Diceros bicornis minor: one gene and its partner. The protein of the gene in region 2 interacts with the protein of the main gene of each other region in a biochemical or structural test. Links are inferred from orthologs where the notes say so. Each region holds a gene or a part of one and is shown on either strand. Other genes may lie near its edges. The genes, in order: MAP2K6 and MAP3K5.

Region 1 (8,145 bases), on a different chromosome or scaffold from region 2:
GTTAGGTGTATTACGTGCATTTTCGACTTACCAATATTTTCAACTTATGAAGTGTTTATCAGGACATAACCCCATCGTAAATTGAGGAAGATCTGCAATCCTGTTTTTACCAGATTGCTTAAACAAAGGAAACTTGAGAGAGAAGGCTGAACAGGTATAGTTGTGCCATATTGGGGAGGGCACTAGAAGCTAAGCTGAATCTATTTTGGGATTTCTAAAATTTCTGCCAACAGTCATAATTCATTGTGATATTTTAATGCAGTAAAAAAAAAAAATTTGTACTTAAAAGTATTGTACCACCATAACTCATCATCCGGTCCCCTAAACTAATTCCCCACATGCTCTCCGCAATATGCTTCATTATATATAACATACCTATTTACACTAGAATCTAGAAAAGTAGATATTCAGACTTAACTCTTAGCTTTAACTTTGGTGCCTTCCTTTCCCTTGTTCCTGATATCTTGTAGATACTGCTGGAAAACATTCATAAATGTCACATGCAGGTGAGTATTGCTACCCAGGAGGCAATATTTTACACTGTAATATGAATATGTCTTGTCTTATCTCTTAAGTGATATTGTTATGATGGTCATCAGTTATCTTGCTAATGCAGGGGATGAGGAACACTTCTGATACCTGAACAGAAAGTTACTTAGCCAATGCAAAAAATAGAATGTGTGATCACAACTGTCTTTCTTTCTTCAAATCACTGGTGGTTTTAATCAGACATTTGAGGTGGGTTTAGAGTCACAGGATGTTAGAACTGGAAGGGGCCTGGGGCTGGCCCCGTGGCTTAGCAGTTAAGTGCGCGCGCTCCGCTGCTGGCGGCCCGGGTTCGGATCCCGGGCGCACACCAATGCACCGCTTGTCCCACCATGCTGAGGCCGCGTCCCACATACAGCAACTAGAAGGATGTGCAACTATGACATACAACTATCTACTGGGGCTTTGGGGGAAAAAATAGGAGGAAGATTGGCAATAGATGTTAGCTCAGAGTCGGTCTTCCTCAGCAAAAAGAGGAGGATTAGCATGGATGTTAGCTCAGGGCTGATCTTCCTCACAAAAAAAAAAAAAAAAAAAAAGAACTGGAAGGGCCTTAGTCTGACCCATCTTATTTTAGTGGAACAAAAAGAGGTCCAGAAAGGCGAAGTGACTTGCCTTAGGAAACACAGCTAACGTTTTCTAGTCAGGACTAGAGCTCACATCCCCTAGATTCTAGTGTTTTTTCCACATCAAAAGTTAATGTCTTACCAAATCTCATTTGCTTTAAATTAACTTAAAAAATAGAGTGTCAGTAAATTCTCATGGTATCCTATGCAGCAAGGTTTCTCAAACTCAGCACTACTCACATTTGGACCAGATAATTCTTTGTTGTGGGAGGCTTCCTGTGCACTGTAGTAAGATTACAAGCATCCCTGACCTCTACCCACTAGATGCCAGTATCACCACCTCCACCCTCCTGGTTGTGACAACCAAAAATGTCTCTAGACATTGCCAAAGGTTCCCTGGGGGTCAAAATTACCCCTGGTTGAGACACCCTACTCCCACCACCATCTCCTCCATCCCACATATACTTCTAGAATAATTCCTTCAGAGCCAGCCTGACCTAACCTAGGGGCTCTTTCCAAGAATCTCATACCTTTAACCTGACAGCACAGGACTTTCCCCAGGTGTTCTAGTTTCCCCTGCAGGTGTTAACTCCATCATTGGAATCTAGTTATTCCAGGGTAGCCACGGTCACAAGTCCTCTCCCTATCTACTCCTTCAGTTTTTCAGCATTCATTTGAGTGCCTGTTAAACGCTAGATGGTCGGCACTGGGAATGCAGAGATGAATCTCTGATCTCCAGTAGTTCAGTCTCCTGGGGGAGACAAATATGTAAATAAACATCTGTCAGCCTTATGATGAGTGTTAGGAGGGAAGTATGTGTAGGGTGCTACAGAATTAGGGAAAACACTTCATTCACACTGAGGGTGGTCATAGGGTGATATGTCACAGAAAGTAGCTGGAAGAAAGTGCCAGCTAAGCCAAGTCTTCAAGGACAATTCTGAATGAGCTAGGCAGAGAATGGAAAATGCTTGCCAGCCAGAGAGAGCAATGTATCCAAAAGCAACTAGGGAGAAAACTCGGCTTCTGGCTGTAGCATCAACATAGGATGAGAAATGAAACTGGAGAGTAAGCAGGGGCCGGGTCTTGAGGGGCCAATTATACCATGCCAAGGAGTTTGGAATCGATCTTGAAGGTAAGTAGAAGAAACTTGCATTTTAGAAAGATCTAAAGTACAGAAAATTACAAAGATGGCAGATTCGAAGTAGGAGCACAGGCCACCTCAAGATAAACATCTGATGTACCGTCTAATAAAAGAACAATCATCCAGATTTTGCTCTCACTTCCTTACACCACCAGGGGAGGAATTCTCCTCCTAAGAACATTGCCACAGATTGGCAAGAAGAGGAAAGGACCATGATTGTACAGAGGTACAGCCTCTTCCTCCATCCAGGACCGTGGGCAGAGGAAACCTTTTTACCACCAAGGCAAGAAGGACTTTTTTTTCTGGACTCTAAGACTTCACAGAGAGGTTGAGTTTCCTGTGGAAATTCAAAATATATTTTTCCCAGAAAGAAAAATGATAAATTTTGATATTTTTAACTATACGGTTCAGCCAATTTATGGGTCAAAGGTGTTTTGCATACGTGTGTGTGAGTGTGTATGTGCACTGGCTGTTGAACACATCATTGTTCCTATGGGAATATGAATTACAGATTGACTTTCAGAACATAATCCATTTGCCAGCTGGGAACTGTGCATGCCTATGCAGAGAATGTACAAGCACAAACGACAGAAGCAAAATGCACCAGACAAGTGATTAGAACTCTTCCATAAAGAAGGGAGTCTGGGGCAATTTAAGAGCAATGCTGCTGACCACATAAAATGCAAATCGAAGTAAGCTCTAGGTGGCTGTGCAGGCCCTGCCTGGGCTCAGCGAGTCTATGTGCAGCTCCAGAAGCTATCCCAGGGCCTGGCCTGTATCAGGTGCTCCACCAAGGTCTGGAAAAGTAGATGAGATGCACTGAAATGGAGCTCCACGCCCTCATGCCTCCTGGTTAAATGAGACTTAGAAAAACAATGCTGGTTCAATGAGGTACTGAGATCCTGTGTGTGAGAGAACGAGGAAGGGACAGCACGGATTCTCCTAGAAGGACAGTGAAAGAAAGTGAGCTACTAAGTCTCTGTACCTATGCTCATGGGACGGAAACCCCTGCCTCTTAGGGGCAGAAACTAATATGAACATGAGGTGACCTTGACAAATTCTCAATAATGTCAGCAGACGGGATCAACTTAAGTAAATTAATGTTAGTTCCATGACCTGCTGCATATTTGTTTTAAGAGCTGATTTGTAGCTGAAACATGGTGGCCTTCTTCCCTCTGATTCATCCATTACTCAGAAGGCCCTGGCTTCCTAGAATTCTTAATAAAATTCCAAGAGTTTTCATAAGCAGTCATCAAATCTAGCCAAATCTTTCAAAATGCCTTTTTCTGCTTTTCACAACTGACCTGACCTATCTCTAGCCTCTCCCAGTTTCAACCCCCTTAATGGCTGAGGGCAAATTTACCTTCTTAAAACAATGCTTTGATTAAGTTACACCCCTTTTTAAAACCCTTTCACCACCTCTCAAGGATCTGTGGAATAAAGTCCAAACCTCTAGCCTGCCTTTTAAAGCCCTGTAGAGTCCTCACCTCTAAATTCCACCCACCCTCACCACTTCTGTATACAAGGCAACGTGGTATCCTTAAGTGTCCCCTGACTAGGCTCTCCTCAGTCTTCCACTGTGCTTGGTTCACGCCTCAGCAGCCTGAAATCCTCAGTTCTTCCCTCTCTACCTGAAAAGCACATTTTGAGTCTGGTCTACTCAGTGAAGTAGAAATCTGAGCTCATTTCAGCCCATGCCCCCTCACTCCTTTCCATTTCTTGCATGGAATTATTCTGTGCATCTCCAGCTTCCTCGTGAAGGGGGTGACCAGGGTGCTGTCCATCCCTAAGCCATGAGCAATGCATGACAAATGGATGACCCAAAGCCCTAGAGACATTCCTGGCACATCCTAGGAGCTCAACAGATGTCTGTTAACTTTGTTGAATAATTCCAGATATTTGACTTTGTTAATTTAAGATTACCACTCACTTGCTCCCTTAGGCCAGGGATTTTCCTCACCTTAGGTGAGAAAAAGCATCTAAATATTTTAACTTTGATAAAGTTAGCTTTGACATATAAAAAGCAGAACTTCCTCTCTAACATTTCAAGAAATAAGAACTCCTCCTCCCCCCAGTATTGAATTTCAGGTTCCTTGAAAATAATCGACCTGGATCCTATCTTACTAAATCAAACTTTGCATCTTCTCTGCAGTGCAAAGGTAATCTTACCTCTGGCCAGCCAAATCACCAACAAATTCTCCATGCCAAAAAAATGTTTTTGAAAATGGAGGTGTGAGGGTAAACGTCTATAGGCAGGAACAGTACAACAGGTGCTGCCCTGCAAACAGGAAACACCCAAACAGACCTTCTGAGCGAGCCAAATGCCTTTTCGCTAACCTAATGTTCTTTAGCTTTAGTTGCTTCAAGGGCTTTTCGATAACAAAAATGCCCCTTCCTGTTGGCCTTGCCGTTTTTCGCCCATCACTTACTACCGAGTGCGAGTCTGACTTCTTTATCTGGGCGCAATCTTTGCCACACCCAGTCATCTCGCTCAGCGACCCGCGCGACCACGTTTCCTTAAATCTGAGCCCCGTGGACTCTGCTCCGGAACTACATTACCCAGCACCCCCCGCGCCCTTCGCAGGAAGGACGTCTGCGCACTAAGATACTCAGTTCCAAGTTTGGAGCTTTTAGCTGCCAGCCCTGGCCCATCATGTAGCTGCAGCACAGCCTTCCCTAACGTTGCAACTGGGGGAAAAATCACTTTCCAGTCTGTTTTGCAAGGTGTGCATTTCCATCTTGATTCCCTGAAAGTCCATCTGCTGCATCGGTCAAGCGAAACTCCACTTGCATGAAGATTGCACGCCTGCAGCTTGCATCTTTGTTGCAAAACTAGCTACAGAAGAGAAGCAAGGCAAAGTCTTTTGTGCTCCCCTCCCCCATCAAAGGAAAGGGGAAAATGTCTCAGTCGAAAGGTAAGAGTCTATTTGCATTACTTGCAAAAATGCAAAGGGTTGTGCATGCATTTATGAATGCATGGATGCAATTTTCGCCTGGCGATTGCATTTTTAAGTTTGAGGTTTTCCACAGCTCAGTTGCATTTCCTGTTTAGTATGTGTCTTTTTTTGCAGACACAGAGAGTTCCTGTAAGGCAGGGCTTGCAGTTCAGCTGTGCATTGACGTTATTTGCATTCTTCTGCTAGGATTACTGAGCTCTTTTTGCCTTTTGCACAGTCAGGAGAGATAGAGCAGGTTGGTAGCGTCTAAAAGTGCAATGCTTTATATAATTGTAAAATTCTTTAGTATGCACACATATTACAAGTAATTTTATGTGCAACAGGAATACAAACTTTTAAAAAGTCTGTAGGTGAAGATGAAAGGTAAAACTTGAGTTAAACTAGTAGGAAATGAATGTAATCTTATATTCCTTTGGGAATGAACCGTTGTGGTACCAGTAGTTAGCTAAATTTCCATTGATATCGCTTTGAACATTAAGCAACTTTTGATTTTTAAAGGAAGTAAAGGTGAAGTGTGAATAATACCACATTACAAAAACGTAGACAAGAAGACTTTCTCTTCCGAGATTTTGCACTTTACACCAATTGCTTATTGGTTCGCAGTATTCAGAAGCAGCAATGAGGACGTAGATGTTTTATGTCTTCCCATTTGGGAGATGCTTTGCATCTTAGGGGAAAAAAATGTTGGGGGAAAAACTGTACTTTTAAGCATTACACCAACGTGGGGAGACTGTACTGTTTCACTGACAATGACAACCATAATGAAATCTTTTAAGTGTGTAATTGCATATATTTAGTCAGCTATAATAGGTCAGAAGTTCAGGGTTATGGTTGTTTCCTTTATGTTTTTTTCTTTTTCTTAAAAAAAATTTTTTTTACACAGTTGTATTTTGCAGACAATGTCATGCTGGGGGGAATTAAAAAAATAAAATTTATGACATGGCATCAAGAGAACTGAGGGGGTGTTGTCAGGTGTCTCTAGGACCCTAAGTCTCTTGTTTCAAAACGAGTCTTTCTTTACCATAGAGAAAGCATGTGCCATCTGAGAATGTATGGAATGAAGAGGTGAGTTAGGCACTAGGTGAGTTAGGCTACCTGAGGCACAACATAGGTGAGTAAGACCTGGTGAAATGAAAGTGTCTCATAAGCTTTCTGCCACTTTTTTTGGAGTTGTTGCAATTCTGCCTGATGGGAATCATGCATCTCAGCCCAAGAGGAAGTGATATATATTCTTAAGAGTTCAAAGTAGGGCTCTGCTTTTCTTTTAGTCTTAGTGAGGAATGGACATCTGAAAAGCTAAGAAAGCTGAAGAACCTATGAATTGGCATTATGAGGTGCAGGTGTTCCTTAATAGAGGGGAAACCTACAATCTTCTAATTGAGCAGAGAAATAACAGTTTAGAAGGGGCATACCATGCTTTGATGTATTAAAGAGATGACATCTAGTTACTTTGTATTTGGTATATATTCACTCATTCATTCAGTTTGGTTTAATATATGTATAAATATATTATGATATATATGTGTATGTGTGTATGTATGTGTACGTATACATGTAGAGAGATATAGTGCACAGGATTTGGGGGCGTACAAAAATATTTAAAATGTAGTTGCTTCCTTTAAGTAACTTACCATGTGATTGGTGAAAGAAAGCATATCTGCAAATCATTATAATACAAGATAATTGCCTAGATAGTGAAGAGAAATGGCACTGTTGGAGTTTAGAGATGGAAGTGATCTCTCTGAGAGATAGTCAGGAAGGTTTCATGAAGAAGGTGATGTTATAGTGATCTTATCTTTGGACCGTAGTGTCTAAACTAAATCAGGTTCCTTTTTGCATTTTTTGAGCTCACTCCTAAAGTAGCCCCCTCCTAGTAGAGCAAGTTTTTGAGTTGGGAAGCTAAAAGAGATGTTAGCATGACACTCTTCCATTATGGGTGTGCCCATAATAGATCAGGTACTGATGGTTCTTGAAATCAATTCCCATTCATCCAAAAAGTTTTCTTAATTGGGTTGTGTTTGGAAGGTGCAACTAGTGTGAACATGGGGTTTCTGTCCAAAAGAAAAATTATTGGTAGAAAGAAGTGGGTGATCATTTCAGAAATGGCAAAGGAGACTTGGCCTGGACTTTAAATGTGGAATTGGCCTAATTCAGCTATGGTATTCTCAAATGGCCAAGACATTTTTTGCAGTACCAGACTTCTTTGTAATACTATAACCAAATGAAATGGGGGGAAAAGTGAAAGGTGGATGCAACCTCATAGTGTTGAAGATTTTAACAACATGTTCAATTCAAGGACCTTTACGAACTTTCTAGATCACTATAATTCGGTTTTAGAGACCTCTAATTTAAGGCACAGCAGAGGCAAAAGAATTACAGACTCCCTGGGAGCTGGAAGGACTGGGTTACTTCTTTCCAGCCTTACCGACAGTGAGATTCCGAGAAAGAATTTCTTAAAAAGAAATTTTGTTTTCCACAGTTGTAACTTTAGGTGGTATGCCTTTCAGTTTGTTTATATTAGCTGTCTGGGGTTGAGCTGACATTTTTCAAATATTAAAGTGGCAGAATGCCTTTTGAGGAAATCTGAAATGTAAGTTAACAGGAAGGGCACCCAGAAAGTGCAGGAATTCCTGCACTTTACAGGAAGACAGGCTACAGGAAAAATGTGTCATCTACATTGCCCCGGAGAGAAAAACTATTGTTATCAGCCATAATGATCTGAGGGAGGGAGGGAAGGAGGGAGGCAGGAAGGGAGGCCTGGCATCTCCCAGTTCACCTGAAAATCTACAAAAAGTTTGACCCTGTTAAATGCACTCTTTCTCACTTCTCCCTCTCTTCACCTTTTAAAAATATGAGTTTTTCTTAGTTTTAAGGTAGTAATAGGTAAATCATGTCGTGAGAAATGTGTATAAGGCATAATTCAGCAGCATGTGAG
Region 2 (8,233 bases):
AGTTCTGGGGCCAGCCCAGTGGTGTAGTAGTTAAGTTCTGCACTCCACTTCGGCGGCCCAGGGTTCGCTGGTTCGGATCTTGGGCGCGGATCTACTCACCGCTCATCAAGTCATGCTGTGGTGGCATCCCACATACCAAATAGAGGAAGACTGGCACAGATGTTAGCTCAGCGACAATCTTCCTCAAGCAAAAAGAGGAAGATTGGCAACAGATGTTACCTCAGAGCCAATCTTCCTCACAAAAATAAATAAATAAATAAAAATTAAAAAAAATAAAGTTTTATTGGAATACAGCCACAATCATCTGTTTAGGTACAGTTAATGGCTGCTCCCCAGTAACAATGGCCGAACTGAGTAGTTGTGGAGAGACCTCACGAAGAGTCTAAAATATTTACCATCTGGCCCTTCACAGGAAAATTTGCACAACCCCGGTGGAGTAGGAGCAAGCACTGTTTTAGGAAGACAAGTTCTACTACCTTCAAGCTGGGAGGACGTCAGTTTAGAAAAATAAGGGGTTCGGACAAAACATATCATCTTCATTCATCACATCTTCACGCAGAAGGAGAGGGCTCCAAGCTCATGTCACTCACGCAGGCAGGGTTCAACTGGAGCCTGAGCGGCTGAGCAAAGCAATGGGATGGGACAGAGCTGGCCCAGAAACACAGGCCTTCCCGGAGCGTGTCCTCCCCTCGATTCCACACTGCACCTACATGGCTCACAAGGTCCCTGCCAGCTCTGCGTCACATGATCCAAGATAGAGACTTTCCCTTGATTCTGAGAGTAAATCAGCCCAGCTGAAGGGAGGCAGCAAGGGCAGAGCATGACCTTTTAGGGTCAGCTCCTGAAGCGGAATCCTGTATTGACTAGTTATGACCTCTGAGTCCCAGGGCCGGTTGTGGATCCCTTGGTTTTCTCACCTTAGAAGGAGAGTAAGTATTTCCATTACAGGCTCATTTGGAGAATTAAATGAGATACAGTTCAAATGTCTGGTCCCTTCTAATCTTTTTCTCTCCCTTTCCCAGAGATAGTACTTGGAGAATAAACCCTAAGTGAGCCTTGTTAGGAAACTTTCTTTCAAAGTAGCTCAGCGTTTAAGATTTTTCTATAGAACCCTATAAAAAATACCCAATCTATCAGTGCAATAAAAATAGGCCCAGTACTCAGCTGGGTGTTTTCCTCACGTATCTTTCAGTTCTTTGAAGCTTCTTCCAAGTTATAATCCAAAAATAAAGAGTGCTGTAATTTTTAGAAAAGTTATGCTTATGCAATTTTTATAGCAAGCTACGCAAAGAACCAAGCCATAATATATTCTACTCCTGTTCAGTTATGAAGACCAAGTCTGTAAAAAAACAGCAGAACCAGAAAGTCCTAGTTTATTTAGTCTGGCTTCCTTAGCATGAAGAAGTTCTTGTTCTTAAAATATTCAGCTTTGGCTGAATTCCAAAACTGACATAAGCCTACTTCAGGTATTCTGGAGAGACTGAGGAGAATCAGAACTGAAACCGGACTGGAATATAAAACCTTTTACGTGATCACAAGTGCAAGAACCTTATTGTTTGAAGCCACCATTAAATCAAATTTTCCCCCCCACACTTAATAAATATGCACATATTCTCAATATTGGTTGCACAGAGTGCTAAGGGTTAGTTTCAATAACACATCATTATTCCTTACATTTGCTAACAGAGAGCTAACTGCTTCAGTCACTAGAATTGCAGTAACACCCTGAAATCTGTCATAGGATGAAAAGATACACTTTTTTCATACATTATGCTAGCAATCACTTTAATGGCCAATAGCACATTCGCGTTTTCAACAATGTTAAATTAAACACTTTTCAGCCCAACAAGGGATATGGGGTAATAAAAAACAGACCTGGTTCTTTCACCGAAGTCTTAATAGAGTTACCACACAGCCTTAGTGTAAGTGACTTTTGGAAGTGACGACTTGAAACTTCGAATTGGTAAGAGATGGGAAGTTCAAGCCACTGAGCTCAAGGTAAAGTGAGCTGGGAAGATCATGACAGGACCTGCAGATTCACAGACACACTCCGCGTGCAGCCGGCTCCGCGGCATCAGTCACGGTGTCTGTTCTTCCAAAACTACCCCGAGAGAACGAGAACGTGACCTAAAGCGGTCACAGGCGCGTCCAGAAGGAAACACGGGCCACCCTGAAGGAAGGGAAGGCACCACACTGGACGGAGGACAGACCGGGGCATGTGCGCGCGCCGAGGACAAGAGTTCTGTGGGGGAGCCCCGCGCGGCGGTCGCGGGTCCCGCAGGGCACCCGAGGCCCGTGCACCGGCACCCCCTCCCTCTCCCCCGGGGCCCGTGCACCGGCACCCCCCTCCCCAGGAGCGGGGCCGGGAGCAGCGGGCAGCGCCGGGAGCGGGGCAAGAGTGAGAAGGAGGAAGCACGCCGGCTGCCCGGAGAAGCGTCTCCCCCGCGGCGGCCGGGGGCTCGGCCCCGACCCGGGGCGCACACGCACCTGCGTTGTAGAAGCGGTCCAGCACCGCCGTCTCCCCGAAGTCCAGCTTCCCGAAGTGCAGGGTCTCCAGGGCGGCGCCCGCCGCCTCGCACGCCTCCCGCAGGCTCTGCAGGGCCTCGCTCTCCGCCGCCGCCAGCGGCCCCAGGCTCGCCTCGTTGATCACATAGGCCACCGTGGTCCGCCGGCCGCCGCCCGCGCTGCCCCGGCTCCGGGGGGCGCCGCTCGCGCACGCGGGGCCCGGCGCGGCGCCCTCCACGTTCCAGAAGCTGCCCGGCGGCGGCGGCGGCGCGAGCGGGCTGTCCTGGCCCTCGGCCGCCGCCCCCCGCCGGCCGCCCTCGGCCAGCGCGCAGAGGCCCGGGGGCGCGAGGGGCGGCACGGAGAAGGTGAGGCCCTCGGCCGCCTCGCCGCTCATGGCCCCCGCGCCGCCGCGCCGCCGGGCCGGCCACAGCTCGGGGCTGCTCCGCGCGCGCCGGGCTACGCGGCTGCCATCGCGCGTCCCGCCCTCCGCGCCGCGCCGCCGCCGCCTCTCGGGCGCCCTCTCCGCCGCGGGGACGCCGCCGCCCGGCGGCCGCTCGCCCCTCCTCGGCGCCTCCGTGGCCGCCGCCGCCGCGGGTGAGGGTGCGGTGGGAGCGCGGGCGGCCCTGCCCGTGCGCCCTCGGGGGAGCTACCTGCCGCCCGACGGCCCGCCCCGCCGCCCCGCGCCACTTCCTCCTCCTCCTCCTCCTCCTCCTCCGGCCGCGCTCTCCCGCCGCCCGGCCGCCTCGCCCGCTCGGCTCCCGCGGCCGCTCGCGCCGGCCCCGCTTCCGACCGCCCCCTCGTCGGGCTCCGCGCGCCGGCCCGCCCGTGGGGGGCGCTGCGGGGAGCGCGGGCCGGCCCGACGCGCGCCGCTGCCACCTCAGCGGTGGAGCGCGAACGCCCGGGCGCACGCACGACGGAGCGCGCCAAAGTCTGCCCGCGACGCGCGGTGGTGCGCTCGGCTCCGCGGGGCGCGGGAGGACGCGCCGGGGGGATGCCCGCCGGGCCCGGGCCGGGGCCGGAGCGGGAGGGTGGCTGAGGGGGGACAGGGGCGCCCGGCAGGGCAGGCGAAGCGGATCAGGTCTGCCCCTGGTACTTTCCATTTTGAAGTCTCCAACAGCGGTGCTGTCACCAAGGAGGAATCGGTTAGCTCCAGCTGCCGACCGAGTTAGCATGCTCCTTTAGGTTCTAAAAACTCCCCTCCACCGCCACATGCTTTCCCGAGATGGAAGACTGGGACTTGGCAAATCATTATCTGCCAGAGGAAGGAGGGAGATTAAGTGAATTATTCTATCTTTTAAATTGCACCACAAGAAAAATAAAATGCCTGGATGGCTTAAGAGAGATCAAAAAGTATCTACTTATATGCGGGGCAAAAACAGATGTGTAAGTTCTCAGAGAACTTCCCCAGAATGCTATAACTTTCGGAAAACCAGTGAAAGATGCAATATAATAAAGTACCAGGTCTGGACTTCCCATCCTCAGGAAGCAAGATTAATGAGTTCTGTGAAAACGGTAGAAGAAGAATGCAAATTACATTCAAGCTTGGGGGAAACGGAGGATAAAACAGTTGAGTAGTGAAGAGTTAAAAGAAGGAAGGAAATGGTAATGTGGAAAACCCCTCGCAGCTGCACAACTGTATCCTCCACAAAGCAAAGTGACAGCTTTTTCTCAAGGCTTGTAAAAGGATAGAGGTAAATTTACAGTAAGTAACTTGCTCCTCTACGTGTCAGCTGGAATCTCCGTGATCCACAGCTGCCTTTGGACTGGGTGTCATTAGGAAAGTAGATGTGTAGTGGATCAGTGATCACACTGAACAATGTTGATGGGCTACTATAGATACACACCTTCTAATATTCCCGACAACTTGTCAGATCTCCAACTCCTGTGGGAGTAGATAACCCTCCACCCCATACTAACCCAAAACAATAAACACTGGAAATTCATTAGGACTATGTCTAGAAGACTTAAATGCCTAAATTCTCAAATAGCATTTTACTACACAAATAAGATCTAAGATTATACATAAAGCTATTTTCTAAAAAACCGTAACTCTGTAGACCATTTCACCTTTGCTTCCCTTCCAGGTCTTTTCAGAGCCACTTTCCATACACAATCTTTATGTTCATTTTACTTTATTTGCTTTGTTTTACTTTGAATTGATTTAATAACTTTAAAGATTTTATCGATTACTGGCACCCAAACCCCAATGCAATGCTGAAAGACTGCTTCTCTTGCTCCTAAGGCGCTCCCACATTAAAAAGGCATGGCAGCAGAACTGAAGTCTACTGGTCAGGACTATATTCTCACTCAGAGTCCCTCCCACGTCCACTTAGAGATGGACCTTGGGACACCTTGAGAACACCTGCAGGTAGGACAAAGAATTTTCGTAACAAAAGAGCTGGAGAAATAAAAGGGAGAGACTTCTGCTTCTGATTATGACAGATTAGGTAATTCTCATCAACCCTCTCACTGAAGAAGACTAAGAATGCTGGACAAAATTTAAAATAAAGGCATCAAAGAACTAATGAGATAAGGACGATCTACCCGGCCAGTTTCCGGAAGAGAGGCCAGGGATCCAGACGGTGTGCCTTGGTTGGGGCTGCTCCTGGCCTGGCAATTTTTGTGGCTCTCATTAGACATCTGAGAGGCTGGACTGCATTTCTGACAACACCTGGAAAGGACAAAAGTAAGGATGAGCTAGCCTAGAAGTAGGAGTGAGCTAGCAGTAAAATGACCCTTACATGGACAGCAACCCTGCCTGCAGACGTCAGGAAAAAGTCTCAAAGCCTGAAATTGGATTAAGGTAATTCCAGGCATTCGAGAATCAAAATTCACTCCAGAGGAAGCTAACATCATCCTGGGCCGTCAGTTCTTTCTACAAATACAAGATCTGTGGATGTCGGCAAACCTTTGAATGCATGGTAGAATGGTGGAAGAGGAACAAGAATATGACTCCAAATCCTCCGTTGCCATCTGTGCCCGAATTTCCCCTCCAGACCCACTCTCCATTCCCAACCCCAGTCTCAGCCTCAGGAGCCTAATCTCTATGAATTAAATCAATGGCTCCCTGGCTTTCTGTTTACCAACTAGGTTTGGTCAGTGGGGAGTCCAGGCAGAGGATCTGAAGCAGGAAGGAGACTGTGACTCTGAGTCACCTCAGGCTGCTTGTTCCTCAACAGAAAGTCATTGGTCTTCTAAGGTGGCAGATCCCGCAGGACTCACTTTCTTACAAGATCTCATAACTGTCCCTCACCTTGTTGTTTGGCACCTAGAAATGATGACAGCTCTGAAGCCGCTAGCCCCAAGTTCCTGCAGAAGCCCTTGAGGCTTCCCTGTACGCCCTCCACACCTTTGCAATTAGTCTTTTTGTAAATAAACCCACCTCAAAGGATCCTGTTTCCTGTTGGGATTCTGATAACTACCAGTGAGCTTTTAGAAATCAGAAAACTAATTTAGCCTCTTTGGGCCTGTTTCTGCATCCATAAAATAAAGTGTTCAATTAGATTAATTTGAAAATCCTTTGAAGTTCTAATGTGTATTGATGGGTATTGATATATACATTCAATGTGTATATACTGAATTGAAATGTGTGAAGAATGAAAATACCACTGGGTAACCAAATAGTAGATGAAGGAACTTTCTCTTTATAGAAATATTTCAGCTAATACATATAAAAAGTCTGAGGTAGTTAGAATTTCACCATTTTGCAACTTTTAATGAGTTTGGATCCAGGTATGGATCATCAACAGTCACTAACATCATTAAGAAAGAGATAAGCAGGTGTCCTGTGCTTCCTGATGGGAAAACATACCACAATTATGAGGCAGTCACACCAAAGACAGGGGGCAGGAATCTCATCAAGGCCCTAGAATCCAAGTCTGAGATTCAGCAACTAATTCCAGGAAATATGGAGGACCCAAAAACAGGTTAAAACACTCTGGAGATGCAATGAGTGGAATCTCTAGACTGTGGGAAACTACAAGTGGCTCATTTTCTTGCACAAATAAGTTACGACCACTGTAACTGATGCTATGTTCATTTTCTAGTAATAACATGGTCAAATGTGTCTTAGGGCCATTTCTAGTTAAAAAAATAATAGTAAGTGCCCATTGCCATGCTAACTGCTTTATGTGCACATCTCAAGTCTTCCATCTTTCTAAATGAAGAGCCCAGAGGAAAAGGTTACCCGACGTGAGACAAGGAGTTAGTAACAAGACCAGGGTTCCAATCCAGAGCCTGTGCTATATCCGCTGCTCCTTATCAGCATGAAGGGATAAGATCATCGAGTCAGAGAATATTGTTTTGGTTCTGGTGTGAGGACATGCCACCAGTTCATCTAACAGCTGCATAAAGTTTAAAAGAAGGGTGATGAGAAGTTGAGACAGACTCTATTTGCCAAATTTGGAATTAAAATATCATGTCAAAAGACCATTCTTACTTCTTATTCTGGAAGCTGTATATGGTAGCTATGTTTCCAAACTCTTCCAGTGGAGCCAGGGAGAGTGAAGTCTTGGGGAATAACCTGAGGCCCAAGTCAACAAGGTGAATGTTGTTGGTGTTTGTTTCATGTCTCTGTTTTATCTTGAAGTTTGCCATTTGTTTCATAATTTATGCTAATTTGTTTTAATACAAAATCATGTTTTGGATTTCTTAATCCTCTGAGAAAAATCTGTGCTCCTGGAAGATGAACCTGGTTCCTTTGTATATCTAGTAGCTTCAAATTCCCTGTCCACCCACCTCAGCAAACTCCTGTAGGGTGGTTCTTAGCCATGGACGCAGATCAGATTCACAAGAAGAGTTTCACACAAATAGAGACTCCCTTCCCCAACCCCAGAGATGGAATTTAAATAAGTTTAAGAACAAGATTCCTTCAATATGCCTATAGGATTTGATAAAGCAGTTTTATCATCTAGAGATCTTATTCTTGGGATTCTTTCCATCTTTAAGTGATTCAATAAATGCTCAAAAATGGACAGAGTCCTGGAGTTCAGCTACACGAGTACTGGGATCTTCAACACTTAAAGAGATTGTCATAAATTCTAAAGTTGAGTAAAATGATCCCCCTCATGTGAGTATAGAAATCTGTCCTAATATTCCTCTTGCAGAAGCCATGTAAGTGGAGAATGACATCCCCAAATTTTTTAGCACAAAAGCTCACTTTGAATTCTATTATAAACCATTTTAAAATAATGCATTACTTATAACAGACTTAAAATATCAGAAATAAGTGATTTCATTGAATTAAGTATACTGTTATACTGAATGACTTCTGTAAAAGTTAGGATGGAATCCAATCTGTTAAAACATTTAGACAAAAAATATTTTTACTTGGGTTTTTCACTGCAAACTTACCACATACATTTTTATTTTGAATCACCTTAATCTAGCAAATATTTAAGCCTAAGTATAAATGACAAGGGGGTCCAGGAAATGGTGGAAGTTAAGTAAAAAGTAAGAAAAGAAAACATATGACTATTTAAATTTAGATTAATTAAAATTACATCAATTTGATGTAATTTGAATACTCAGTCACAGTAGCCACATTTCAAGTACTCAATAGCCATATGTGGCTAGTGGCTACTTTATTGGACAATGCAGGTACAGAACATTTCCATCATTGCAGAAAATCCTACTAGACATAGAAAGAAAGCTGTTTGGGCCTGCCCCGTGGCTTAGTGGTTAAGTGTGCGCACTCCGCTACTGGCAGCCCGGGTTTGGATCCCAGGTA

What was found.
Region 1: of the proteins of MAP3K5 (region 2) and MAP2K6, one has a biochemical effect on the other in vitro, tested with the Homo sapiens proteins (8 studies listed by BioGRID, with this or other methods). The link is inferred for Diceros bicornis minor from reciprocal best matches to the Homo sapiens genes MAP3K5 and MAP2K6.

Annotation. Positions count from the first base shown.
Region 1 is NC_080757.1:50,792,997-50,801,141, forward strand, and holds the start of MAP2K6 (dual specificity mitogen-activated protein kinase kinase 6), read left to right. Parts: upstream 1-4,903; 5' UTR 4,904-5,152; coding exon 5,153-5,168; intron 5,169-8,145. UniProt on the Homo sapiens protein: Dual specificity protein kinase which acts as an essential component of the MAP kinase signal transduction pathway.
Region 2 is NC_080762.1:1,825,184-1,833,416, reverse strand, and holds the start of MAP3K5 (mitogen-activated protein kinase kinase kinase 5), read right to left. Parts: upstream 3,142-8,233; 5' UTR 2,900-3,141; coding exon 2,488-2,899; intron 1-2,487. UniProt on the Homo sapiens protein: Serine/threonine kinase which acts as an essential component of the MAP kinase signal transduction pathway. Plays an important role in the cascades of cellular responses evoked by changes in the environment.